Drosophila melanogaster: one gene and its partner. The protein of the gene in region 1 interacts with the protein of each later gene in a pairwise test. Each region holds a gene or a part of one and is shown on either strand. Other genes may lie near its edges.

Region 1 (6,597 bases):
TGTAACTTGGCATGATGCAAGTGTCAACTAAATGGTGCAGCTTTAAACGAAATTTTATATATGAACACATATATTGAGATGACACAAACCGGATGTTGAACAATACATACATAGCATATATATTTCGTATAGTCGTATATGTTTGTTAAGTGCCAATAAGGTCCTCACAAATACAATACTCATAGAAGAATACCCTGTCCCAAGCCTTTTCTCACCCCCATCAGTAAATTTAACCGCCCAGGAAAAATTTCAAATCGAAAAACCACATTCCAAGCATTTCCCAGACCACGTGTACATTTTTAGACGCAAAGCACGAAGTAGTGCAAATCTGGTAAAGTGAAATCACCAATAATCTTGTTTGTTAAACGTAGTATCCCTAGAATCAAATAACTACTAGCTGATAGTTATTGAATGGCACGAAACCAAAGAGCACTATTTTTGAATTATTAGGTAATATGAGAGGCACTGCTCAGATGGAATGTTAATTGGATATACTCGCAATATAATATGTGTCCTTCGAATCGTTACTCCCCCTAAGTAGTTCGGAATATTAAAGCTTACTTCGAAGACTAACCATAGTTTTTACAAACACTTCACACCTAATGTTATGGAGCGCGTCGAGATATCCTAGCCATTTTCCGAGTCCAAATTGAGTTCTCCTCGTACGTGCCATCCTAACCGACCTTAGACTTCCTCAGCAGGATATCCGCACTGCACACGATTAATCCTTAATGTACGTGGACTCTTGTATACTGTCGAACTACTATTGCAAACCAACGTAATATACATAAAAGTCGATTTAATTTTGCAAATAAACATTTTCAATGCGATTCCCCGCGCCCACGAGTCCTCGGTTCCGCATGGAACACGGGGTTTTGGTGCCAGCGCCGGGACGCCGCTAATGCCACACAGTAGCCAGTTAACATTAATTATAAATGAACCACTTAATATTAGTAAAATGCAAAGCAAAGCGGCTCAGCAAGGCCACGCTTGTGTACAGTACAACTAGATGTAAGCGTATACCTGTCTAATGTTAAATCGAAGTAATCGAAAAGTAGCTACTAGTTGATATTAGCCGAGAAAAAATAACGAAAATAGCAAGTGGAACTTGAAAACTATACACTACGTTAAGCGATAAATAATGCCTAAGTAGTTGAATGTATTCACTAAGCGGAGTTATAACCTGTGTACAAAGCTGGGTTCCTTTCGTAACTTCATTAGTTTTTCATTTTTAACTTAAATTATCCATGTGATGTGCTGCTTCAGGTGTCATGTCACATGGTACGACCCTGTGCCCCATGGATCTTCACTTGTGCCAAGAACTGGTGGCGATGGGGTCCCCAGTTAAGGTGTAACCACTCTAAAATAGGGAACGAAATGTAAAACTGTAAAAGGGCATAAGCCATATTATCCATACATGTATACTCCTATAACCAGTGTTTAAAAAAACCACCAATAAATTCAAATTACGTATACTCTTGGCTTAAGCCGTACGCATTTTGCAGGTGCAACTGCACGTGGGGTCCGTACAGACTGATGAAGGTAAGCACCTGGTTGCAGCTGGGCTTTCCGAACTGCTTTAGCACTTCGGCGGTGCGGCATGGATGCAATGCCATAAAGGGTCTGAAAAGCACCGGGTGATCCATCTGGGTGAGTATCTGGTGGAGATCGCTGGCCTTCGATTCGGGCATGAACATTCGCCAAGTGGCCTCCACATCCAAAAGACTTCCATCTACGATAAGTGGATTTATTTTCACATCTAGTGAGATTTTGTAAAATATGTAAATACCTGATCTGTGTGCCTGGAAGAACAACATTGGTACTTGATAGGAAACACTGAAGACCACATGGTACTCCACACTAACCAACTCAGCCGAGTTGTCCTTGCCACCTCGGCATTTAATCTTCTGACTACATTTGAGATAGGTGTTTGGTTCATTCGAGTCCTTAATTGGGATGGAAAACGTATTAAATAATTAGCCCGAATTATAAAATCCGCACTGCGAGATACCTTTTGTTCCAATATCCAATTATCACCCAACTTCTGCGAAATTTCGAGGAACTGCTTGGCCTGGCTCAAAAAATCTTTCCAGCTCAAGTCGCCCATAATGCTGAAAATAAAGCACAAAAATATGCGTGTTAAAATCTTTAAACACTTCAAATACCCACGCGTAACGATACTTGAAAGAAAACAATTTCTTTTGCGTGGGAAACAAGCCTCATACATATATTTAAGAATGTCCTGTATTCTAGAGCAAAATTGAAACGCCAAAGGTTAAAGCTCCTCAACACAATACACTTAAGCTTAACACAAATCGTCAATTAACGAATATCAATTGCAATAATCCATAAGTTAGGCGCTGCGCAGGTCGCCGTCCAGGGCGGTAACCTGGACATTCTCGTTGCGCCGGACCTGAACCACAGTCACCGTGCCGGCCTTGTCATCAAATTTGCACGTCACCGTGACCTCCCGCAGCTGGAAGGTAAATATTTGCGAGCCATATTTTGTGCGCAAGTAAACGGAGCGCGGATCCGCCTCCAGAATGTCCACGATGCACTGCTTCTCCACCTGCAGCTCCTTTAACTGCGCCTCGGCATGCTCGTTAAAGGTCACGCTAAGTCTATTGCTGGCCACCACCCAGTTGGGCACTCGCACGGCGCTGGGTGGCGGCAGAATAGCGTCAGCTCCAATGCCCGCGTTCCCGCTGTAGCCAGCTGCTCCATACAGTTCCAGGTCCGATTCCTCTCCGTCAGGCTCCTGTCTGGAGTCGTAGAAGTCCAGGCTGCTCTCATGCGGTCCAACAGAGGTTCTTCCTGTCCGGGGCAAGAACTTTAGTTGCATTTCTGCTTGATTCTCGTCCAACGTACCTGAGTCAACGCTCAAGGATGGTGCATCGTAGTGTGGAATGTAGGGCTTAATGTCCAACACGGGTGTGCCGTCTACCATGTCCGTACCAAAGAAACTAATGGTGGCGTTCTCGATCTTCTCAATCTCCACCAACGAGAGACCAATGGGACACGGGCGGTGTGGAGATCGTGTGGAAAACACACCCACCCGCTCCCCACCAAGACGGGGAGGCGCCACCTTGGCCTTGGGGTGGGAATTGTTGCGGTGAAAATGATAGATGAGCCACAGATGGGAAAAGTCCTCTAGTCCCTCCAAGGAGTGCTCCGGATTGGTGAACACACCGTCGTTCAGTTGGATGATACCCCGCAGGCGACTGCCCACAATTGACTGCCTCGGCACGGCCCGCTTCTCTGGGAATGCTGTCCGGATCACTCCTATGGGCCGAAAGTGTGCGTAGTCCTCTCCCAAGCAGTGCCCACCATTGGTATAATTGCTCTAAGGATTGGGTGCGAGGTTTGTATGTGTCTTTCAGTGTGTGGGAGGGTCAAACGCACCTGACCTTGGCCCGTCTGCTGGTCCTGCGTCTGCTGTTGGTGCTGGTGCTCCTGCTTCTCGCCGGCGACCTTGTCCTTGGCGCTTTTGTTGTTGTTCGCACACCCCTCGCAGCGGAAGTCCTGCAGCAGGCGGGTTATCGTCTCAATGTCCTTGCGCTGCACATGCTGCAGGTTGCGCACTTGCTGCCTGCATCATGGTCAAGGCAAAATCGGTGTGAACTTGAACTATACCAGTAGCAAAAGGACACTCATGGCAATTTGCCTGTCTCAAACGCACCTGAGATTGTTGATCTCGTTCCGCGCGATGGTCAACTGACTCTTCAGATCATCCTCGTGCATTTTCGCTGCCGGCAACGCGCACTTGACTCCCAAATAATCCGCAATTGCAGCGTTCTCCGCTGTTATTGACCAATATTTACCTCGATTCTCAATGGTTACATCCAGCTAGAGTTGGCCATCACTTACGCACGGCACCGCGACGTTATCGATTGTCGATAGGTTCACCTGTGCTTAGTTACGGCCAACTGCCTTAATTCCAGTTAGATTTAGCTTGCGCTCAATAGCTTTTTTTACAAACATTTTCTTAAGAAATAACGTTGTAAGCCTCAACAAAAATTATATAAGATAACGTTACTGAGCAGTAAAAGTTTTGTCTTCAATTTACATATGTTTGTTAATATTTTTTTTTACAAATCCCTTTGCTCTATGTTGACTAATTTACAATAATTCACAAATAAAAATAGGAATAATTTAAACATTTTGTAAGCGTAGCTTAACACTATTTTGGCTTTTTCCAAATATTCGATTTCAATGATAAACGATATATCCCAGCGCGCGTTTCTTTTTGGTATTTTTTAGGTTCATTTTCGGGCTGAGAATGACAATCTGAATTTTGCACAGTAGGTTCGATTTGAAGCGACATTTTCCCTGCTATATACAAATTTGTAAATTTTAATTGTTCAAAAGGTGTGTTGCTTGCGGCAGACTTGAGAACTGAATTTTAACCGGCGTTGTCTATTGCAGCTATCGAAGCACGAAGAAAGCATCATGTCTCGCGGAAGTTCAGCCGGCTTTGACAGACACATCACGATCTTCTCTCCGGAGGGACGCCTCTACCAAGTGGGTTAGTATCCTGGCACTTGCGGCTCCATTGTATCCAGTCTGACATTCTCATTTCCCCGCCAGAGTACGCCTTCAAGGCTATTGCCCAGGAGAACATCACCACGGTGGCGCTGAAGAGTGGCGACTGTGCCGTGGTGGCCACCCAAAAAAAAGTGACCGAGAAGAACATCGTGCCTGAAACGGTGACCCACCTGTTCCGCATCACCAAGGACATTGGATGCGCAATGACCGGACGCATAGGTATGAACCATAGATACTTTAAATTCTTGTTTATCCCGGCGTGATTCGAGTCAAATTCCAGTCGAGTTAGCACAGAGTTATCCCATTGTTGATATGTCCCATGTAACCAAGTAGCGATTCACTTATGATTGTGCTAAAATCAGAAGAAATAGCCTGCCAGACATTAGGGCAAAGGCGTATAGCGTGGAGCCATTTTAAACGTAGTTTTCACACGGTGCTTCAACTAGAAAAGAGGACATATCAACCCAAGAGTGTCACTAAATACTTAAAATTATTTCTCTCCCCTAGCTGATTCCCGCTCACAGGTGCAGAAGGCCAGATACGAGGCCGCCAACTTCCGCTACAAGTACGGCTACGAAATGCCCGTGGATGTGCTGTGTCGTCGAATTGCGGATATCAACCAGGTGTACACGCAGAATGCCGAGATGCGTCCGCTCGGCTGCAGCATGGTGCTGATCGCTTACGACAATGAAATCGGCCCCAGCGTTTACAAGACGGACCCGGCTGGCTACTTCAGCGGGTTCAAGGCCTGCAGCGTGGGTGCCAAGACTCTGGAGGCCAACAGCTATCTGGAAAAGAAGTACAAGCCCAACTTGTCGGAGGAGAAAGCGATCCAGCTGGCCATCTCCTGTCTGTCCAGTGTGCTCGCTATAGACTTCAAGCCGAACGGCATTGAGATCGGCGTGGTCAGCAAGTCTGATCCCACTTTCCGTATTTTGGATGAGCGGGAGATCGAGGAACACCTCACCAAGATCGCCGAGAAGGACTAAGTTCTGTCCCGCTAGCTGTAATTTTGTCATATTTTATAAAGCCTCTTGGATCTATGGTTAAATAAAAAATGCTCTTGGCTTGCATTCAAAACAAAGGCAAATCCGAAAACGTTTTATTTCTTCTTGTGCACCTTACCGCCGTATCGCATGACAAAGGCATTTACATCGAATTTGCGACGGCATCCCTGATAGTTCATGTACCTAACCTTACCGAAGATAGCCCGCTCCTTCCAGCCCATGTCATGGACGCCGCCAATGGACCACATGCAGCCCACATAGCCGTTGGGGTCGCGACCATCCAGACTGTACTTGTCGTTCAGCAGGATTGCGTACTCCAACGCATGCTCCGGTGTCGCTGTCCATTCCAGAATCTTTTTGGCCCAGTACATGCGCAAAAAGCCGTGCATCTTTCCCTCGCGTACCAGCTGCAGTTGCGCCGAGTTCCACAGGTCGTCATAAGTGAGAGACTAGGAAAAAATTATAAAATCATTTTAGTCTCAAATCAAAAGAAAAAGAATCCGTGGTGAACCTTTTCTAGTTCTTCTAAGCTGTAGCAGGGATCTCGCTTGTCCTTGCGATGTGCATCTAGCGTTTGATATGCCCAAGAACTTAGACCTTTAAGACTATCATAGTGCTCGTTGTAGAAGCAAAAGTTATCCGCCTTGGCCTTGGGGTGGGAATTGTTGCGGTGAAAATGATAGATGAGCCACAGATGGGAAAAGTCCTCTAGTCCCTCCAAGGAGTGCTCCGGATTGGTGAACACACCGTCGTTCAGTTGGATGATACCCCGCAGGCGACTGCCCACAATTGACTGCCTCGGCACGGCCCGCTTCTCTGGGAATGCTGTCCGGATCACTCCTATGGGCCGAAAGTGTGCGTAGTCCTCTCCCAAGCAGTGCCCACCATTGGTATAATTGCTCTAAGGATTGGGTGCGAGGTTTGTATGTGTCTTTCAGTGTGTGGGAGGGTCAAACGCACCTGACCTTGGCCCGTCTGCTGGTCCTGCGTCTGCTGTTGGTGCTGGTGCTCCTGCTTCTCGCCGGCGACCTTGTCCTTGGCGCTT
Region 2 (6,216 bases), on another chromosome or scaffold:
GGAAATTGGTTCCCAACTCAAATCATTTCGGGTGTTGCGCAACACGCGCTTCATTCGGCGCAAGCAGGAGGACGTATTGGGTCATCCACTTCGCATAGGTAAGATCACAAAATTGGTACAAACCTAAAGTTCTCGACGCATTTTAAGTAACACCCACTTCGAATCTAATCATATTGTTGCAGGCGGTTGTAAAGAAAAGATTCATCCGCACAGCGTAAAGCTCATTTGCAGCGGTGTCCACAACCAGCTGGTGAACAATGGATTCTCGCGCCAGACCTCCGACGGCAACTTCTTCCGCTATTAGTTCCACAAATCTGTGTTTGCTTTCCCAGAAAGAATACCATTTTGCGTTTTGGGTTTTACAAACATTATTGGAAATAAATTTGGGACACAGAAGCAGTCGTCACGCAGTCGCCTCCAGCTTGGGCTGCTTGGGCAGGTGCTCCACATCTCCATCATACTCATCCACTGCTTGTGGAGTGTCCTGTTGGTCATCCTCCGCCTGTTGCTCCGACGCTTTGTGACGCTGTTTCTTGTTCTGGTTACGATAGCTCTTGGGTAGTTTGTTGTCACCAATCCTGAAATTGGATGGGAATTTAGTATGCGAAAGTGGGTGGCTCGATTACTTAGCTTACATAATAGTGGCTCTGGTTCCAGGTCCCCAATGTGGAGTCGGATTCTCTTGGAAGCGCGATAATGCCGATTTGCGACTCTTCGGGTTCGCCTCCGGATGGAGTTCATCGAACTCGTAGACAGCAGTGCATTCTTTCGAAAGTATGGCCGCCAGTGGAGATCCAGGAATCATCCTTTCGGGATTTACCGGATGTCGCTTGCTCCAGCTGCGCAGAATGTCCCATAGCACCGCTGGTGGAGCATTGGTTTTCAACGAATTCTTCGAGGCATGCGAGTATGAGACTCGATAGCCAGCGTGGAGAATAGCAGACCGGAACTTTAGCATGGGCACGATTTCTAGCTTGAGCACACAGCACAGTTTGTCCGGCGTGTAGTAAAGGGGAACATCCTGCAGCTCCTCTTGGACCATGGAAAGAACTCCAACGATTCGTCTCTGGGTTCCCAGCGATTGCAAGGTGGTCTCCTGGACCGCCGTTAAAAGATCCTGCACAAATTCGGGGTTATGAATCGGTGCCGACCAGATGGGTCCACCCAGATGATGCCTGTGACCGCAATGTTCGCACTGCGAGTTGACCGCCGGACCAGTGGGAATTCCGAACTTCAGCTGCTGGGGATTACCAGCCGTGGGATTTGGCTTGGTTATGCCCAAGGGCTGCAGCGTGAAGGTCTCACATCCGGTGCATTGGTATATCCAAGACTGCTTGCTCATCGACAGCTTGCATTGGGCCTGGCCGACGTACACACGCACAAATATCCGGATGTAAAAGTCCGCTGATATGCTCAGTAGTGGTTCGATGTACTTGCCGTACCTGTTCGCGTGGCTCTCGATGCAGTGCAGCAAAATGCGCAATGCCATCTCGTGACAGCACTTCATCCGCAGCGGAACCGATCCGTATTTTACATAGCAAGCTTCCGGAGCATTTCCGGCCAGCACGGCCATGTCGGTGGCTGTCACCAGCAGCAGGCCGCCGTCCACCAGGCACTGCATAGCGCCATCCAAAAAGCGATTGGGACATCCGTACGGATCCAAGTCAACTGCATCAAAACGCTTCTCGGGTTGCGTCGAAAGATACATGAGGGTCCTGTACGATGTATTGGAATGCCCCATTTTATACCGTGTGCCAATAGCTTAATTATAAACCTACATTGCATCGGAGTGACTGGGCTCGATCAGCTCCTCCACCTTGTTGTGCCGGATGTTTGTGTTGATCGAGGCCACTGCCTGGCGGGAAAGATCGTTGGCCACGATCTGGCGTACACCGGCGATTTCCTGCGCGTAACGGATGCTACGCAAACCGGTGGCTGCCAGTGCCTCCAGGATCCGAAGTCCATCCTCATATCGAGTACCGGCCTCATAAACAGGTGGATCCTCGGGAACGGGAGTGGTCTTCTCATCCTCCTGTTCCTTGACCTTCTTCCGCTGCTTTTTGAGCGCCTTTTCGCTCCGCTCCTTGGTCAATCTCTGTCGATAAACATTCAGAGCAGCAATGCTCAGATCTCGATTGAATTCCTGGACAGGATTGTAGAACACATTGCCGCCGGAAACGATCTCCGCATTACGTTCGCGTATCACGTTTTCGTTGGGATTTTCAGCAATAATCTGCAATCGTAATGCTTAGCTTAATGTGGTTTATTTATAATGTGTTTTTCTTTAAGAACCTGCGGCTTTTCCTCGTCCACTTCCATTTGGATGAGTTAAAAGAATACACGTGGGGCAGTGTTGAAAAACGTAAGCTACTAGCTATTAAGCTTTAAAACTAAAAATATACACAAATTTGTTGTTTTTTATATGAAATACGAAATAAACATTACAGAATTATATTTAAGTTTAATTTAGTTTCAAAATTTACAATTTGGGTATATTCTCTGTAATAATACATCCCATAAAATGATGTTGAATAAAAATGGTTCTTAATATTTATTTGAATTATTTAAAGATTAAAATAAATTAAAATAATAAATTGACATTAAATATGACTGGAAAATAAAACTTGAAGCTAGCTACTTTGCCACCACCAGGATTATCGAAAGGACTATCGAACCAAAGTCCGCCCCTATGCTTGATAAAGAAATTAATTTGCAGAAGTGAAACAGCCGCAGCCGCAAACAGAAGCAAAAGAGCTAGAAGTGATAGCATTTTTGTACTTTTATACAGTGCCACAAAGAAGCCACAGAATGACCGATCTGCGCAACGAGATGGACAGCGATCTGGACCAGAACTACTCCCTGAACAGCAATGCGGACCCCAAAAACATGCAGGAGCTGACCATATACGTGAGTAATGCCCGAACCGGGAACCACCCAGTAAATAGAGACACCAAATGAGCACCCAGTAAACCTGCCTCCTGTTATCAGGTACAAAATCTGTTGCAGAACGTTCAGGACAAGTTCCAGACGATGTCGGACCAGATAATAACGCGCATCGATGACATGGGCAACCGCATCGACGATCTGGAGAAGAGCATTGCGGATCTGATGAACCAGGCCGGGATCGAGGGTCAGGGACCGGAGAAATGAGATCCGTAGCGCTGGCACGGCCACGCCCATTCGGAAAGTGCATCCCAATACCATTAGATACATACATCGAACACCTGGCACCCAGTCACCCGTATCAAGTTTACAATTCCAGGTTCTCACATTCATTTAATCTCCTCCGCACCCAGCTGCTCCCCAAGAAATGAAGAAAAGAACACATTTGCTCATCCATTTATTGCTTAGTTTTAAGTTTCGCCCGGTCGGGGCACATCATAATTTAAGTAAAGTAATTCTTTTGTGAGCAATGGCCAATAATTTTGAATTATTGCCGTTTAGTTTCTATTTATAAATTAAAAATTCAAGAATTGTAAATTCCCTGCTATTTGGGTGTTCAGGACTTCGATTTAACAACGGTTACCAGGCGACCAGTTCCCGATTTGTGTTTCCTCACCTGAAAGTTTATTGCGAAAAGGGGAAGAGAAGCGCGTCATTTCCGCTTGATTAGTTATGATATGCATATATTTAGTATTGTTTATCTGGGACAAATAATGCAAATCGTGACCCGTGTCCATTAATAAAAAGTGTATGGAAATCAGCGCTGAATGGCAAGGAGTGCTATATAACAATCCCTACTTTTAAAAGGAAAATCAACATTGATTTGTGGACCAGAATGATTTTCGAATATTAATTGCAATTTGTGTTGCTTCTACATATCATGTTTTTTAAGGCAATGAGATAGAGAGTGGTAATACATTCTGATTAAATTATGAAAGGAAGCTCTGAGACTGCGGGGTTACAAAAACCAATTAAGATAAACCCTTAGAAGTATGTTCCTAATTCAATTTTATTTAAGCTCTTGCTACGATTCCAGAATGTGCCTGCAATACTGATGTGAGCTCTAGGAACTCTACTACTGGTCATAATTTGAGTGCTAGTGCTGGGGCACGTGGAACTGCTTCTGCAGCCTTACATGGGTGGAGGCCACCGCCTTGAATGGATGTTTGACCGTTTGTCTGCTGGGCTTCGAAGGAGCAGAAGTGGCACTGGCACTGGTCGATGGCGTGGCTATATCCTTGCTGGCAGATCGGATCTTGGCCCCAAAAACATTCTCCCGCGGAGGAACCTGGTTGCCCGGCTGCGTGGGTTCCCTCTCGTCATCCGTTGCCGTTCCAGATTCCTCGTCCTCTTCGCCACTTTGCTCGGTTTCCTTGGGAGGAATGGAGTTATTCTATCATTCCATAATCATGCCAAATCATACCTCATCTTCATCATCTTCCTCTTCATCCTGCTCGTCGGTTTCATCTTCGGGTTCTGTTTTACTTCCATGATTGATTCCGGCTCCCGTCAGATTCCTATTGCTCCTGGACAACTTCGGGCGCCTCTTGAGCGGACTGACCAGGTGCTCGTGCTCCAAGCTATCCATCGACTGGGAGCGCAGTCCCTTTTTGAGTGCAGTTTTCCTGGAAGCCAGCTCTTCTTTGGTCTTCATGAGTTTCTGAAACTCAATGAAATCGTCGCGCTCATCAATGGTTCCAATATCATAGTAGCTTGCGCTGAGTATCTCCAATGCCTTGGTGTGCTGTTTCATGGCGATCAGTATAAAATCGCTGATTATCTGCTTTAAGTCGCGCAACTTCCGCTGCTCGAAGTTGCCAATAATGTCGTCTATCTCCTTGTTTGTGCGCTGCACCTCCATTTTGGCCTTAAACAGCTCCGAATCGGCGGCACTCTACGGTAAGTTTTGGGAATTATATAAGAAGTAAATTGTTCGTTTTAATACCCACATTGTTCGCAGAAAACTTTGACTTGAGCTCAAGCATCTGGCGCTGACGTAGTACCTCCTTATCCCGCGCTATGACAGCCAGTCGAAGATTGTCCCTTGTGGACTTGCAAAGCTGCTCGAATTGCGCCAACTCGTTGACAATCTACATAAGTCAATAATATGATATAAGATGCAGATTTAAAAAAGGATAATTCACCTTGTGTTCCAATCGGTGTACATTGATGTCCATGTAATCACCCATTATGGTAACCGCGTTGGTGAAGCTCTTCAGTCCCTGACAGAGACTCTCGTTGATTTCCTCGTCGTCGGCGTAGCTCTTCACACTCTTGGCCAACTCATCAAAGGAGTCCCGATATCTGCAAGGTCTTATGATTATTCATTCAGATTTATTTATTTACCAAACTCACTTGGCCATTTTCCGCGTTACCAAAGCAAACGAAGAGCACATCTCCATTAGATGCCTTTCTGTTATGTTTATGCGCTCGTTTATTATTTTAACACGGTCATCTTTGGTGTTTAGAAAGGATAGTTTTCCACGACGAAACATTATTATTTTATTTTAGTCCCTTATATTTGTTTTCCTTCTTTATTTATTTTATTTCGACAATAAAATCAAGTGAAAACCGTTACCAAGGCAACGTCTAAATTCATCTGGCAACTCTCGTTCGAACAGCCAGCATATTTCCAGCTCTGTAAAATTAACAGAAATGTTAAGAACCTACTGCTGCCAGGTGGCGCTAGTATCAGCGTCTTCTGCAAGTACATAGATGGCGCAAGAATAAAGTTTATCAAGGAAATTTAAAACATTCTAAAAATATTCAATCCTAAAATAAATATCTGAATATGGGTACTTCATTTTTTTCCAACAGTGTCAAGGTCAAGAGCACGTTTCGTTATAATCTGTGAGTGTTTCTGTCTGTCATCCGGTGTCTAAATTTAAATTCGAAAGATTTATGACTAATTAAGAGACTGCAAATGATAAAGAAAAATATATATAATTAGTATATATAAAAAAATAGAAAATATACTACGATATTTACCTGAAGATCATAGCATTGTAAATAGTTTATTTAAAAACAAGTCAATCTGATATTTTAAAATATCGTTGGTCCTAAAAGCCAAGCTTTACTCACTTAAATATATGTAGGACTAAGCTGACTCAAATTCTTCTCACTTCGAAGCCTTGACAACCAAATCTTGTTTTTTGGGGAATTTATTGACTCGACCGCAAGAATGTTGTGTCAACGATTAACCGAAAATGGTAATTTATTTTAAATGCTCCTCTGCCACTTAAAGGCATAGTGCAATCAAACCTGTATTTAGTA

The links.
Region 2: the proteins of CG12822 (region 1) and CG5446 interact in a two-hybrid assay, tested with the Drosophila melanogaster proteins (one large-scale study listed by BioGRID).

What each region holds. Positions count from the first base shown.
Region 1 is NT_033778.4:7,829,448-7,836,044, reverse strand, and holds CG12822 (uncharacterized protein), read right to left. Parts: upstream 3,875-6,597; 5' UTR 3,742-3,874; coding exon 3,680-3,741; intron 3,590-3,679; coding exon 3,403-3,589; intron 3,344-3,402; coding exon 2,354-3,343; 3' UTR 2,204-2,353; downstream 1-2,203. Other genes in the region: Atg10 (Autophagy-related 10), read right to left, coding at 1,467-1,732, 1,790-1,946, 2,012-2,107; Prosalpha1R (proteasome alpha1 subunit-related), read left to right, coding at 4,450-4,525, 4,588-4,764, 5,053-5,534; CG18853 (uncharacterized protein), read right to left, coding at 5,648-6,001, 6,064-6,453, 6,513-6,597.
Region 2 is NT_033779.5:12,424,160-12,430,375, reverse strand, and holds CG5446 (uncharacterized protein), read left to right. Parts: upstream 1-2,666; 5' UTR 2,667-2,808; coding exon 2,809-2,907; intron 2,908-2,988; coding exon 2,989-3,150; 3' UTR 3,151-3,745; downstream 3,746-6,216. Other genes in the region: CG5435 (uncharacterized protein), read left to right, coding at 1-98, 183-304; Trm1 (tRNA methyltransferase 1), read right to left, coding at 404-578, 636-1,715, 1,779-2,233, 2,293-2,319; Fam92, read right to left, coding at 4,040-4,315, 4,367-4,837, 4,893-5,033, 5,088-5,247, 5,299-5,438.